Schizosaccharomyces pombe: one gene and its partner. Changing the gene in region 2 together with the main gene of any one other region gives a genetic interaction. Each region holds a gene or a part of one and is shown on either strand. Other genes may lie near its edges. The genes, in order: trx1 and pgr1.

Region 1 (7,466 bases), on a different chromosome or scaffold from region 2:
AAATCATTGTTTATACTGGAATAGCACTGATTGCCCAACACTGGTTAATATGGCTAGTCTTGGGATGGGTACTTTGCAATATGGTAGCAATCTCTTCTTCTTATGCTTGTACGGTCAAGAACAAAGAACAAAGTTTGGACTTTCGGTGGACTCTTATACCTTTTCTATACTAAGAAAAGCGTGCCGTCAGGATACCGCGATTCTTATTGATTGTGTAAAATAACATTTATTAAAAAAAAAGATAATTTGTATTAATATTTAGTCGGGGTTTGAGAAGAGACGAACTTTAAAGATGTATTATTATTTTATGTTGCACTTTAGTACAAGCAACAGTAGATGATAAAAGTTATTTGGCCAGCATGTAGAAAATAGGGAAGGAAGGAAAAAGAGATAGGAAAATAAGAAAAAAGTAATACAAGTGTATCCAATATTTAACGGAACAAATAATAAGACATATTTTGTTTCGTAATATAATCATTTTGATATGCAGGTACAAATTCCATTTCACAACAATACCAAAGGTAACTTCCCTTAATTGAAAGAGTGACTAATTTAAAAAACGTAGACGAAGAGTGCAGCTATAAAGGTAAGTTAGACAAACAGACATGAATCTCTCTTTCTTTTATGCTTGAGGACGTGAAAGGTAATGGTAAAGGATGATTAAGAGCATCATGGAGATACCAAAGGTGGTAACGATATTTTGAAGTTGAACGTCTGTCATTTTTAAGATGATCCTTTGTAGGAAATGAGTTCTGATGCTTGTGCTCGGTACAAGTTGGGAATACAAGTATTTAGGTCCAAGCCTGAATTGCCGTGCATTCTCATAAAGTAACGAAGCACGGTTGCTACTTGAAATGTGAATATCAGTACTGCAGTGATGAAAAAGACTGCCGGTATATAAGGTAAAAGAAAGAAGAAAGAAAATTCATTTTACGGTACTTTCGAATTCTTTAATACATATTGCTGCTCAATAGCTTCTGGATGTCTAAAATGTGAATGCTTCGAAAGAGCGTAAAAAAATTTCAAAAAAAAAAATTTCTTCACCATCCCTATAATTGCCGTTGATTAAAAAAAAAAAAATGTAACTTTCTACTTTGTTAAAGCCAAAGTAGCTGTAGAAAAAGTGACTGTGGATGCGTATGTAAAAGGTTACCCTCTCAAGCTGAAAACTGCATTGTACTATTTCGCCATAACGTGAATTTGATATAAAGCGATGGTTCAATACACCGTTTCTAGAGGAAGTAGCATGGAAAAAACATAAATTAAAATATCGTTCATCGTTCTAACGAAAGTTCAGCTACCGCAAAGAATTATTTGACTGGCGATTAACTTTTTTTTGATTTCAGAATTTCAAGTATATGTGACACTGTTATAAACTGCATATTTATACTCCTTTTCCAATTTCTACCGCCATTTATATGTAAAATGGATTTTGTTAACAGTAGGAATATCGCCTCACTATTTTACATTTTTGTATGTCTTTTAATTTGTAATTTCATATCAGTACCTCAGTTGTTATAACAAAATTTTCTTAACATTACTTCGACTCCACTAACTAGATCGTGTACAGCAAAGAAAAGAGCACGCATAATCTTTCAGCTTACCAAAAAAAAAGAAAATCTTTACATTTACATACTTATTATTTTGATGCTTTAATTGCTTATAATCTCATGTTTGTCGAGAATCCACGATTAACAAGCTGACATAACAACAAGATGGCTTCTTTAGCTTTGTTTACTAATTGTCAGGTTTCCGATTTGTGATTCGTTGTAATTCCATGAAGTATTACTCCGAAATGCGTTATAGAAAATTAGGAAACGAATTGGTAGGTTGATGGCAGAGAATGGCACCATATCCTCGTTATTGTAGCTCATTACCTCATCGTCGGTGATTGCACAATGTACGCTCTCGATCTTTCTACTAGAATAAGCGAACTTATAAATTACACATTTTCTCAATAATATATAAACGGGCACGTCGCACCATCGTATAAGTATACTAGAGACAAAGTTCATTTGCACTCCTGAAGTCAACGTCTTTTGAATTTTTCAGGTTTACTTCTGTTTACTCGTTAAATCGATTTTTTCTTTATTTGAGTATATATTTTTAACTTAATTTCCCATTTCATTTATATACAACATGGTGAAACAAGTCTCCGACTCTTCTGAATTTAAATCTATTGTTTGCCAAGACAAGCTTGTCGTTGTCGACTTCTTTGCTACTTGGTGTGGACCTTGCAAGGCCATTGCTCCTAAGTTTGAGCAATTTTCCAACACTTACTCTGATGCCACTTTCATCAAGGTTGATGTCGATCAATTAAGTGAAATTGCAGCTGAAGCTGGCGTTCACGCTATGCCCTCTTTCTTCCTTTACAAGAATGGTGAGAAGATTGAAGAAATCGTAGGTGCTAATCCTGCTAAATTAGAGGCTTCTATTAAGGCGAACCTCTAATTTACGCAATCTGATAGTTAGTTGTTATGAACTTGTAATACAAAATATTTTTATTTAACAAAAATAAATGTTTTGCTTTTCTTTGTGTATGCACCGTTGTAATTTATTGGGAAAAGTATTTTTGTCCTAGCATCTTTTCTACTGAAGTTGCAGAACGGCGATTTGCGTACAATTATCGCAATAATAGTAATGTGCCATCGACCAGGCGTAGTAATCTAGTCATGGGCATTTTTCAGACAAGCTAGCTAATTTGCGACCGCCTTGAGCATTTGTAATATTTAATACGACTTTTTGGTTAGGCGTTCGTGACTCTGTTCTACATTATTCTCCTATCCTTCTAAGATAGACATTGGAGAGTGTATACCAATTTGGAATGATACCATTTGGATGAATAAATATCCTTTTTGATTACATGCTCAAATACATGCTACTCTTTATTTATAACATTATACAATTAACCCAACGAATATTTATGTTGATCTGAGTAGCAAACATATTTTTGTATTCTATTAGAATAAAATCTTTAATATTCTCGTTAAGTATTGTTTTATAACAATCAAATTTCACATTTATGGAGTAAAATCACAGTAATGATTACGCTCCGTCGACATGTTCTTAACACTTACATCCTAACATACATTGTTCGTCTAACGAGTTTCATTAAAAACACAATTTTTCTTAAACAAAAAGGAGTTCCTTTCTATGTGAAAGAACTCTACCAATTTTCCATTGTCTATAATAAGCGTTACTCTTAAAAACCTGGGATCTGTCTACATTATTTGCTAAAGTCTCGTATTTTATCAAAAGTTAACCAATGTCTTCAGTTGAGACAAGAAATTCTTTTAATCCTTTTCGGGTATTATTTGATCTTGGTTCCTATGGCTGGTTACATCCTTCAAGGCTCCTTCTGTTGGAAATTCCTTTTGTCTTTGCTATTATTTCCAAAGTTCCCTACACGGAGATAGACTGGATTGCTTACATGGAGCAGGTGAATTCATTTCTATTAGGAGAAAGAGATTATAAATCTCTTGTCGGATGTACAGGCCCTCTGGTCTACCCTGGAGGGCACGTATTTTTGTACACCCTTTTGTACTACCTTACTGATGGAGGGACCAACATTGTAAGGGCGCAATACATTTTTGCCTTTGTATACTGGATTACAACGGCTATTGTAGGGTATTTGTTTAAAATTGTCCGCGCTCCTTTTTATATATATGTTTTGCTTATACTTTCAAAACGTCTACACAGTATATTTATCTTACGTTTATTTAACGATGGATTCAACAGTTTATTCTCTTCCCTTTTTATTTTGTCTTCATGCAAAAAAAAGTGGGTTAGAGCTTCAATTCTACTAAGTGTCGCTTGTTCTGTCAAGATGTCCTCCTTGCTTTATGTCCCAGCTTATTTAGTTCTTTTGCTCCAAATCTTGGGGCCCAAAAAGACCTGGATGCATATTTTTGTTATTATAATTGTACAAATTTTATTTTCTATTCCCTTCCTTGCCTATTTTTGGTCGTATTGGACTCAAGCCTTTGATTTTGGCAGAGCATTCGATTATAAGTGGACAGTAAACTGGAGATTCATTCCACGCAGCATTTTTGAGTCTACATCATTTTCCACATCAATACTTTTTCTTCATGTTGCTTTGCTAGTTGCATTTACCTGCAAACACTGGAATAAACTGAGCAGAGCAACACCATTTGCAATGGTAAACTCCATGCTGACCTTGAAGCCTTTACCAAAACTCCAACTCGCAACTCCTAATTTTATCTTTACTGCATTAGCAACATCCAATTTGATTGGTATATTATGTGCAAGATCCCTGCATTATCAATTTTATGCATGGTTTGCTTGGTATTCACCATATCTATGCTATCAAGCTAGTTTTCCTGCTCCGATAGTAATTGGCTTATGGATGTTACAAGAATACGCATGGAATGTTTTTCCTAGTACTAAACTATCTTCATTAATCGCTGTATGCGTGCCGCTTATTACTATTTTGAAGCTATACACATCCGACTACAGAAAACCCTGATCCCTCTTTACTAATACGCAAAATAAACTTTATAAAAAGCTTAAACACTTCACTTTTAATTACTCATGGTTTTTAAAAAACAAAATTTTTAGTTTTTTCATTTGTGTACCGACTATAAATTTTTGAAAATTAACATCTTATAAAAACGAACATTAGTCTAATCTTTTAATTCGTATCTTTATGCCGTCATAATTCGATGAATATTCTCTTCAATGAAAATCTCAGGGGATTGACAGATTGATAAAAATTCATACATTTAATCATTCGACACTGAAATGAATTAGCACCAGTGTTTTTATCAAATGCTCATTATTACTTTTAAAAAAGCGTTTCTAAAATATAAAACAAACAGTTGCTAAGAACACAAGTGCTTTCCGCACAACTATTGCAAATATTAGAATAAACAAGTTGCTGATTTTATAGCTTGCACCATTGACAGTCACATTTTACTAAGGTTTCATTATATATTTCAGTTCCCTCGTTAAAGTAATTTTGTGATTTGCTGTTTATTTGCATAATGTGAACTTCTTAAGGATACATTCGACCGCTGTAAGCGCCTCTTGTCTGATGTAGCGTAGTATGGATTATGAAAAAAACATATTTAGCGTAACTTGTAATAGTTCTAATAAGCTAATAAGTAAAATCAACTTCTACCAGCTTCAACTGCACTTCAAAATATATTTTTCATAAAAGGTTTAGAATAATTGCTTTTTAAGGGAATGACTATAAACGCAGGCATACATGTGAGAAAGCAACTTTTATCTTACTATAGCTAGTGCAGCGTAATAAATATTTCTTTATATCAGCATATTGGCATTTCGAGGGAATAATGGTGAATATGTAAATGTCTTAAAAATATTAAATATAGAGCCAGTACTAATTGTTAAATAAAATTTAGATAATTTAAAAGCATAAATCCCTTTAGCTAAATAAATGCTTTATCGAATTTGCTCGGTTTGCGTCAGTTCTTCGAATTTCAATATTTATGAATAGAGTATACACTCCATTAAAGAAAAGAATTTTGTGAGCTACTCTGTATAGATTTTGAACCCGTAAAAACAGCAAATGCATAACTGAGCCCTAGATTGTTGGTCTAACGATTATTCTCGTAGCATGGATGCTAGACTTGGAATAACGCGACTAGAATGGTCATTCAAATTAGAAAATAAAAAGGATTGCTATTGCGTTTATCGGCATATTCTTCATTTTTTAAATTTTCGTTAGCATGCATATGCATTAGCCATTTCATGTTCATGTCTTTTCGGAATATTCATTGTTTACTTATTTGCGCCCTTGTATAATGAAAACAACAATAGATCAATCTCTAAAAAATTAAAAGGATCACATAAATATAATTTTTCTTCAATGTCAAAAGCTAGTACACAAAGGAACAACAGAGCTTTGTTGAAAATATAATCAATTTATACATTTATTAGAATTCTGACGAAATATTCATTTATAAGAAAAAATTATCATTTCAAATGTGAAACCTTTATTGTCACATTAGGTCCTTGAAGAAGGGGTCCAGATATGAATGTTGGATACGCGGTAAACCTGACTGCGTTTATTTTACTTCTGTTCAAAATATTTCAGGAAATTGGTTTTTATGTCACAGTATTCAGCATTCCATTGGATGTTTCTTGCTGCTGAAACATCTTTTATTAAATCATCCCCTAGGTGCATACATTCTTCTGGTTGAATCTCCTGTCCAAGAAGTTTAACAGCCTTTTCCATAGCATAATCAAATATTTCCCTGCTTGGTTTTTCAAATCCAACGTCGTACGAAAACGCATATATATCTATTAGATGATCTATGCCGTAATCTTCAAGCACTGTACGAATTCTTTCGTCTGTGTTTGAAATAATACCAATAATGTATTTCCTCTCTTCTTTATTTCTCTTAAGGAAATCAATCAGAAGAGGATGAATCGTGTAACCCGTCTTTTTGGAAAAGTAACTCCATAGCTCTTCAGCCATTTCTGCAGGAACAGGAGTTGGAAAAGAATGTTCGATAACCTAAAATTGTTAGCATGTAAAGGTTTTTTAGAAATCAAGAGATTCAATTCTTTACAAAACACAAATCTCAATGAAATTCAGACACATACTTTGATCCACCAGTCATGAGGATTTAATCCTGACTTTTTTCCATGATTCTTATGCTTTTCACTGAAATCCTTGAATGCTAAATTATTAGATAAATAGAAACCAAAAGCTAACCTTTATTACTATTGTGTTCAATTTCATCAATAGTTGCATGAACTCCATACTTCTGAGCGACTTCGCTGTACACAATTGGAACAGGTTTACTTAAATGAAGGATTGTTCCAAAAGCATCGAACGTAACCAACTTGATCTTTTGGATATTTTTTGAGGGAATCATAATTCCAGGTTGTACTTTGATGGGACACACTACACAAAGCAATTTACATAAGGTACTCCTTACCACCAGTGCGTTGTTCGGTGTGATAAATAATATTTGCAAATCACTTTTATTGCGAGCGATTGCGTTCTACATATTAAATAATATACGAATAGATTAAAAGTTCATTAAAAATTTATCATGTTACAAGACGAGAGACACGCTACAGCAATAGTAGTCGTTAATTTACGTCGGATACCTTACTAGGCGAGACCAAAAAACAAATTTCAGTAAATAATGCCATAACAGATCAAAACCTGAAAAAATAGAAGTATGATAATACCAAATGTCTGTCATATAGAATCAGTCCCACAAATACAAGCAAAGAAAAAGCAAGTGAAGGTATAAGCTAGGTCACATAATGATTTAAAATCTTTCATCGATAGCTTCCACTAAATGCCATATTGTACCTGAAGGCAGGCGAAGCCATTTATCCGTCGAATCATCAGCAGTACGATCTTCAATGGAAGTTACCCTTCCTAACATCCAGTCGCGGCTTTCAAGTTTCAAATGCGGTTGAGTGTTCAAATAATAATGAGGAGCGTTAACATTAAAAGCCGC
Region 2 (8,388 bases):
CAAAGACTATTGCTTAAAAATAATAACTGTTTGAATAAGTTCGATAGCCAAGGCGGTTTAATTCTTCGCAATTAGGTAAACGCAATTCTTTAGCCTTCTTCAGTGCCTCTTTATCAGGAAAGAACCATCCTTGAGCTCTTCGAATTTCGTCTTCTTTAATTTGTTGCTCGCGCAAACAAGCATTATGGACGTTTTGAGTATACGTATGCTCGACTTTTTCGTTGAGTCTTCTTATATCTCTTGAACTTAGCTTATCCAAATCCTTTTGGCTCATATAGTATGGAATGTTATGCTTGGCAGTAGTACGAGGAACAGTGTATTTATAGTTTTGTTGAAATGAATAGCGCGTATTAACCGACGTACTATCTGACCAACTAAAGTTGGACAAAAAGGCAAAAAGGATTACCACTATCAAAGGTAGCAACTGATAAAATATGCTCTTTGGGGGCATGTCCTGGGCCTGCTGACGACGTGCAAAATTCCTTGGACGGCCGCCAAACTGATGAACTCGAATGCCAGGTCCACCACCGAAGAAAAATGTTCCTGGACCTGAAAAGAACTGGTCACCAAAGAAAGAATTGAACAAATCTTCGGGAGACATATTCGCTTGAGGATAAGCAGAAAATCCAGGATGGCCTCCTGCGTTACTACTAAAAGAGCTGCTCGCAGCAGAGGCGCGAGATTCAGGATCCATTCCTGTACGGTCGTAGTGTGCTCGTAGATTAGGGTCTGATAAAACCTGAAAGGCTTTTGAAACCACTATAAAAAAGTTAGGATACAAAAAAAAACCTTAAAAATTATTAGCTAAAAAATGAAGACGTACTTTTAAATGCTTCGTCAGCACTAGGTGCGTGATTTTTGTCTGGATGGAGCTGTAATGCTAATTTTTTATAAGACTTTTTGATTTCTGTATCAGTGCAGGTTTTCTTTAAATCCAATATTTCATAGTACTGGTGATTTTTGTACTTTATGATTTTCTGGACCAACAAATGTTGTTCGCTTGTCCACTTCTGTTTCTTTTCACCAGCAGAGCTATTCCCATTTTCCCGCACCGACTGTTTTTCAGAAAAAAAGTTACTCTTGTTTTCTTGCTTAGGAGTTGCCTGAGGATTTGGAGAACCTGTAAGCTTTTGCTTTTCTATTTGTTTCACAAAATCTTCGCCCTCAGTGGTAGCATGAATTCGCAAAGATTTATTAGCAAATTTTAAAGCCTTATCATATTCTCCGGCATTTAAATACTTTCTTGCAAGTCCAATGCATCTACACGTAACATGTGTTAGTAATAAAATCTCACGCAATCCTCATTATTCGTACCTAAGGGCTTCTTCTCTACTAGATTCCATTTTGGTGATATGAAAGAAGGAAATTAAGTCCAAGTTTGATGAGAGAACCAAAGTTTCAAGTGCCTTCAATCTCTGCCAACTTTGTACTTGGATGGATCGATGCTACCAGAAACCCTTTAAACCAAGTAACATATCGAAGGTCAAGTGGCTTAAGTAACATGCACTTTTGAATCAATCCAAACACCAAAAACAGGAATAAAAGGGAAAACTAATTGATATATTTAAAATAATTCAAAAAGAGCATTTTTTGGTTTTGGTTGTTTGCCAAGCGAAATAATTAGAGTAATTGGAAAAGTTAAGTGTTTTTCATGTTTTTATGTTTCTTTCGGTTTCAAAGTGGTAAATCAGAAACTTAATAATAGAATGAGCAACAAAAGTGCATGGCAACCTCAGTTTGATGAAATTCACTCATCCGTTCAAGAAGCAGAAGGGTTTTTACAGTCTAGCAACGATGTACAGAAAGCTATAGACGAGGTGCATTATCCTGACAGCCTCAATGACTTGTCGGAAATATCAAAAAATTTGTATATTAGTAGTTGGAAAACGGCGTCAGAGCTAGTGTCTACTTCAGACAAAGGGATCGATTATACATTAAGCGCTATGAGTATTAATCCCAATTTGTCGGTTCCTGAACAACAACACCTTTGGTTGCAAATTGAAGACTCTAGTTCTCAAAATATTCTGCAATACTTCGAAAAGTCAAATAAATTCATCGCTTTTGCACTATCTAAAAATGCCAAAGTTTTGGTTCACTGCTTTGCGGGCATATCAAGGTCCGTAACCTTAGTGGCTGCATACTTGATGAAGGAAAACAATTGGAATACTGAGGAAGCACTCTCCCATATTAATGAAAGGCGCTCTGGAATATCTCCTAATGCTAATTTTCTTCGTCAACTTCGCGTATACTTTGAGTGTAATTACCAACTTGATCGAAGTTTGCGCCCATACCGCCAATGGCTGTTCAGAAGATATGGTGATTTCGCGGTGTTGAATACTAGGGTACCATCTGAAGTCGCTTACGCTGAGACTGTCCGTGCCCGTGCAGGACAATTAGAGCTTCGCTGTAAAAAATGTCGGTTTGTCCTTGCCAGCTCTGATTATCTGGTATCGCATGAACCGAAAGATGAAAATAATTATTCTCATACAAGATGTACTCATTACTTTTTGGAACCTATTCGCTGGATGCAGCCAGAATTGGAGTTGGGAAATTTGGAAGGTCGATTTGATTGTCCAAAATGCAATTCTAAAATTGGTTCTTATAAATGGCAAGGTTTACAATGCAGTTGTCTTCAATGGGTTTGTCCAGCTTTAAGTATTTTACAGTCGCGTGTAGACGCTGTTAGGAAACTCGGTTGATTTTTTTTTCTGCGTGTGTGAATCATCCACTTGCTTCAAAGTTAATGTATATTAGGAAGATCGCTCTAGGTTTTCAAATCATCTATGTTTATTACAAAAAAATGGTTTATCTTAAAACATTGGTTGCTTTTCCAGAGTTGTCGATGAGATCTTGTAATTAAAGTACTAACCAGTTCTGAATACTTATTTTTTAATAAAAACTCTATACTATCATTGGCCTGAGAAAAGTATTTCCATCTGTTCAATGGCAAAGTCTAAGGAATTCTTCTAATCTAATTATCACTTTATGGAGGTATTGCTTACTTTTGAAGATGACTAATATTGCCATAAAATTTCCTAATATTATCATAACGAATTCATGGTAAAGACGTCTTACCCTTACCTTCCGTTGGTTTATAACAGTATTCAACTTCTTCATTACCTATATACACGAAGTATTAAAACTAGAATGGCACCTATTTCAAAGGTCTTTGATTACCTGGTAATTGGTGGTGGAAGTGGTAAGTACAATTCGATACTTTCGGGATTTGATGGGTTAACATTTATGAATATTAGGCGGTTTGGCTTCGGCTCGTCGTGCTGCCAAACATGGAGCCAAGGTTGCTTTAATTGAGGCATCTGGGCGCCTTGGAGGCACATGTGTAAATTATGGATGTGTACCCAAAAAGATTATGTGGAATATTGCTGATCTCGTCGCAAAGATGAAAACAGCAAAGCAAAATGGATTCCCTAACAGTCAGTTAGGTAGTTTTGACTGGGGAATGATTAAACGTAAACGTGATGCATACATTGGACGTCTCAATGGAATTTATGAAAGAAATGTTAATAAGGATGGTGTGGCTTATATTTCTGGTCACGCTAGCTTTGTATCACCTACTGAGGTTGCTGTCGATATGAATGATGGTTCGGGAACTCAGGTTTTCAGCGCAAAATATATCCTTATAGCTGTTGGTGGTCATCCTATTTGGCCTTCGCATATTCCAGGAGCGGAATATGGTATAGATAGTGACGGGTTCTTTGAGCTTGAAAGCCAACCTAAGCGCGTTGCTATCGTTGGTGCTGGTTATATTGCCGTTGAACTTGCTGGTGTATTTGCTGCTCTAGGAACAGAGACTCATATGTTTATTCGCCAAAGCAAATTTTTACGTAAATTCGATCCTATTATCAGTGATGGAATTATGGATCATTTCCAACATATTGGCATCAATGTCCATACGAACTCTTTAGAATTCAAAAAGGTTGAGAAGCTTCCTTCTGGCGAATTGTGTATTCATCAACAAGATGGATCTACCTTTAATGTTGATACCCTACTTTGGGCAATTGGTCGTGCCCCTAAAATCCAAGGTTTGCGTTTAGAAAAGGCAGGTGTTAAGACACTCCCTAATGGTATCATTATTGCTGATACATATCAACGCACTAACGTTCCCACTGTCCTTTCCTTAGGTGACGTTTGTGGTAAATTAGAATTGACCCCCGTTGCTATTGCTGCTGGTCGTCGTTTGTCTGATAGGCTTTTTGGAGGCATTAAGGATGCTCATTTGGATTACGAGGAAGTTCCCTCTGTTGTTTTCGCTCATCCTGAAGCTGGAACTATAGGTCTTACAGAACAGGAAGCCATCGACAAGTACGGTGAAAGTCAAATTAAGGTATACAACACTAAATTCAACGGTCTTAATTACTCAATGGTTGAGCAAGAAGACAAGGTCCCCACTACTTACAAGTTAGTTTGTGCCGGTCCTCTTCAAAAAGTGGTTGGCCTACATTTAGTTGGAGATTTTTCTGCTGAAATTTTGCAGGGCTTTGGTGTAGCCATAAAGATGGGTGCAACAAAATCAGATTTTGATAGTTGTGTTGCCATTCATCCTACTTCTGCTGAAGAACTAGTTACTTTAGTTTAAATTTTGTCTTTTATTTATCCTTTGTTTTGACAGGTTTTCTCACTTCTGGTTTCTTAAATAGAATTAAAATTATGAGTACTTTTATTTAACATCAGATTTATTTGCAAATTAATTGTTCAAAACTTATATGTAATTGTAATAAAGCTATTTCTATTGCTAAAATACCTATATTTGCTTCTGCAATAAAACTGATAAGAAACTAAATATTTTTTTGATTTCCTACATGTCTAACCCAGCAGTATATATGAATGCAGTTTAAGCTCAACTCTCACATTTTAAACCTCTAGAGGAAAAAAACAAAAAAAAAAGATCTCTACCTATGGCATCAATTAGGCAAGCATTTGTAAAAAGGTAAGTAGTTTCGGTATAAAGAAAGATAATGTAGACTTACGATATGAGCTGCAGTTTGCGATTTTATGACATTGGATACAACGCAACAGATCCTGTTTTTCGAGGTATTTATCATGAAAAACTAAAACATCCTGATGATTTTGATTCCATAATTTCTCGAGCGAAAGCTGTGGGAGTAGAAAAAATGATGATTACCGGCGACAATGTCGAAAACTCTGAAGAAGCCCTGAATTTAGCTACAAACTATGGTAAGTATATCTCACAATTCATTTCTTATTTTATTTTACTAGTATAAAAATTGCTTAAACTGTTTACTACTCAACTCATTCGCTTGTGGCATTTTTGTAAACTCTTGTCCTTTTCCTCAAAGTGTTGAAATGAGCCTAATCCAAATTTTTTTATCAGCCTACTAATAAATTACAGAATGTTTCACTAGTACCGTGGGCGTGCATCCATGTCAGGCACAATGCTTTCTAAGGCACTCTGAGGGTCCTGAAGATTATCTAGTAAAACTAGAAGCATTGGCTAATAAGGGCAAAGCTTCAGGAAAAGTAGTTGCTTTTGGTGAATTTGGTCTTGATTATGATAGATTACATTATGCGCCTGCTGATGTTCAAAAGATGTAAGTATTATTTTATATGGTTCGGTCCAATATGATACTTAAAAACTAACAAAAAATTGAATTAGGTATTTTGAAGAACAATTAAAAGTTGCTGTTCGAGTCCAGTTACCACTTTTTCTGCATTCTAGAAATGCTGAGAATGATTTTTTTGCTATCCTAGAAAAGTATCTTCCAGAATTACCCAAAAAAGGAGTAGTACATTCTTTTACAGGGAGTATAGATGAGATGAGGCGTTGTATTGAACACGGCTTGTACGTTGGAGTTAACGGTTGTTCCTTAAAAACGGAAGAAAATCTTGAGGTGGTTCGAGCAATTCCTCTTGAAAAAATGCTTTTGGAGACAGGTATAAAATTTCTATATAAATTTGAACCATCTGTAAGGCAGAATAATTAACAAATATTTGTAGATGCCCCATGGTGTGAAGTACGACCATCTCATGCAGGACATCAGTTTTTGAAAACAAAATTGCCATTTGATTCATGTAAAAAAGAAAGGTTTAAGGAGGGATGCATGATTCGTGGGAGAAATGAACCCTGTAACACTTATATAGTCGCAGAGATTGTAGCGGCGCTGAAAGATATATCGTTAGAAGAATTATCAGAACAAATTTGGGAAAACAGTATTAATCTTTTATCTAAATAGAGTCAGAAATCCATTTCAAAATGGAAATTGCTTCTTTGCTGTGTATTCCACTAATTAGAAAAGTGTTAGCAAATCCTGATTCGTAACATAAACCAGTCCATGGAATGGATGATAGTTCGTGCTCAAGGGTAGCATTGGGAGTTGAAAATATAACTTTTTCTAATCTTCCGTGAACAACTGAAATATCCATACTGACTGAAAGCTCTGTCGATTCTAGATGTTGCTTAAAGGACGGTGTTTGACCAAAGGTCCATTCCCAGGATTGTAGCTCATTAACTGCTTTTAGAATAGAAGGAACACCTAATAAATCATTTTGCTCGAGCGTGATGACTGACTTTGGCTCAATATCGTACAATCTTTTACTTGAAGCACGTGGTTTAGATAAAGGTTTGGTTGTAGTAGAATGAGATTTGTGAAGCAAAAAGCAAGAAATAACCTGCTTTATAAATTCAGCTTTCAATAACTTGGTGTTCGATACAGGAGATCGAGTACTTGAAACACCTTTGGAAAGTATGCCGGTTGATGGACTTCTCAAATATTCGCGAACACCTTCGAGGTCAGAATTCAACAACATCGTTCCATGGTGATAACATCTGTTTCTACTGATTTTATAAGCTGAACCACTAATTTTCCTCTGGCTTTGAGCAAGTACAATATCATGTCGCTGGTTTAGCCGTGCGTGAACACCGAGATTTCGTAAAGCCTGAATCATAATAGACGCATTTTCAGTATGCGAAAATTCCTCTCTGTTCATCAAAACGCTATAATTTAAATTTCCAAAGTCATGGAAAACAGTTCCGCCTCCAGACTTTCGACGAATGATGTTTACAAAATTGTCTCTACACAATTTCACATTAGCTTCTACCCAAGGATTTTGGTTTCTCCCAATTATAACACTAGGAGAATTTGTATAAAGTAGTAGACAATGCTTAGCCGTACTATTCTCATAAAGATAATTTTCAAGTGCTAAATTAAAATATGGATTGACTGATTTGCAAACTACCACCTTTGCTTGTAGTAAGCCATTCAATTGTTTTGAAAAGGTTGCTAGAGATGATTTAGGGTTTGTAACAGCTTCTAGCATTTCCTGAAAAATTCATTCGAATTTTTATGATAATCGCAATCACTTTCAAGGTATTCAAGCACGTTCTCCAAGTAATTTTCACTCGACACAATAAATAGATTGTTTTTAAACCGTCTAAATAGCAAACAGTGTGGGTTGTAGTACAATCCTAAATTAATAAATAGATTGCGCTGTTGAAAATCATTTACGAGTGAAGTTAAAAAGAGCGTTTCTAGTACAATCGTCTCATGCACTTGTCAGCACACATTGATCCTTTACAGATAAGTAAGTGCTTCTATTTATCTCTTTAAATTCTTTTTTTTTTGCATATTAACGAAGCAAGTCCTATGTACGGAGATTGATGAAGCATGCATTCAATTCATTAAATCTCAGATAGAGGGTATAGCCCGTGCTTGCGGTCCTCGTATGCAAGCAAATTTTGAGGGGGTTTTAATTCCATATGTAGATGTTTTAGGGAAATTCCTTTACAGAGCATGTTGCTTGCGGTATGCTACAATGGGCGAGGAAGCAGCTCGAATTGTTTTAGCTAAGCAGGATCGATCGAAAGGACTGGTTCTTGCTACTACTGGAGAAAGGATGACTTCGTTGATATTCTCATTAGTCATTGACTTAGTAGGCGTACATGTCAACAAGCTTTTGAAACAAGCTTCTTATTCTTCTAGCTTTAAATTACCTTTTGGGCTACGAAATTTATTACCTGAAGCCGTAATTTCGAAGGAAAAACATTTAGTTTACATTCTAAATTCCTTTAAACCAATTCTTTTAAAACTTGTTTCAATTATTCGCTTTTTGTGCCTTACAATGAAAGGGCACTGTGCAACAGTTTCTCAATTGCTTTTAGGTCTTAAATATATATCTCTTGATGAAATAAATCCAGAGGAAAAGAAAAAAGTTTTAACCCTATTACTATTGCTTGGTAGTCGGTTGATTGCTTCAATTCTTCAACATTCTAATTCCTATTTTGACCAACACACTATCTCTTCAATTACTGATGAACGGGACCTTGAGGATAAAAATAAATTACCGTTTATCCCTGAGGGCAATAGGAAGTGCTCGCTTTGTATGGAATTCATTCATTGTCCTGCAGCAACT

Evidence for each region.
Region 1: of pgr1 (region 2) and trx1, extra expression of one rescues a mutant of the other (dosage rescue), as found in Schizosaccharomyces pombe (one study listed by BioGRID).

What each region holds. Positions count from the first base shown.
Region 1 is NC_003424.3:2,623,318-2,630,783, forward strand, and holds trx1 (cytosolic thioredoxin Trx1), read left to right. Parts: upstream 1-2,015; 5' UTR 2,016-2,139; coding exon 2,140-2,451; 3' UTR 2,452-2,538; downstream 2,539-7,466. Other genes in the region: dfg10 (steroid dehydrogenase), read left to right, coding at 1-173; oligosaccharyltransferase subunit Ost4, read right to left, coding at 623-721; SPOM_SPAC7D4.08 (uncharacterized protein), read right to left, coding at 1,725-2,015; dolichol-P-Man-dependent alpha(1-3) mannosyltransferase Alg3, read left to right, coding at 3,266-4,486; SPOM_SPAC7D4.05 (hydrolase), read right to left, coding at 6,056-6,502, 6,592-6,668, 6,704-6,866; autophagy associated protein kinase regulator Atg11, read right to left, coding at 7,272-7,466. UniProt on the Schizosaccharomyces pombe protein: Participates in various redox reactions through the reversible oxidation of its active center dithiol to a disulfide and catalyzes dithiol-disulfide exchange reactions.
Region 2 is NC_003423.3:1,411,349-1,419,736, forward strand, and holds pgr1 (glutathione reductase Pgr1), read left to right. Parts: upstream 1-3,091; 5' UTR 3,092-3,147; coding exon 3,148-3,199; exon of another isoform or gene 3,200-3,254; coding exon 3,255-4,597; 3' UTR 4,598-4,808; downstream 4,809-8,388. Other genes in the region: SPOM_SPBC17A3.05C (J domain-containing protein), read right to left, coding at 14-759, 824-1,260, 1,315-1,343; SPOM_SPBC17A3.06 (phosphoprotein phosphatase), read left to right, coding at 1,707-2,699; SPOM_SPBC17A3.08 (deoxyribonuclease Tat-D), read left to right, coding at 4,917-4,948, 5,003-5,196, 5,372-5,570, 5,636-5,913, 5,977-6,212; aim22 (lipoate-protein ligase A), read right to left, coding at 6,205-7,296; peroxin pas4, read left to right, coding at 7,524-7,560, 7,619-8,388. UniProt on the Schizosaccharomyces pombe protein: Catalyzes the reduction of glutathione disulfide (GSSG) to reduced glutathione (GSH). Constitutes the major mechanism to maintain a high GSH:GSSG ratio in the cytosol.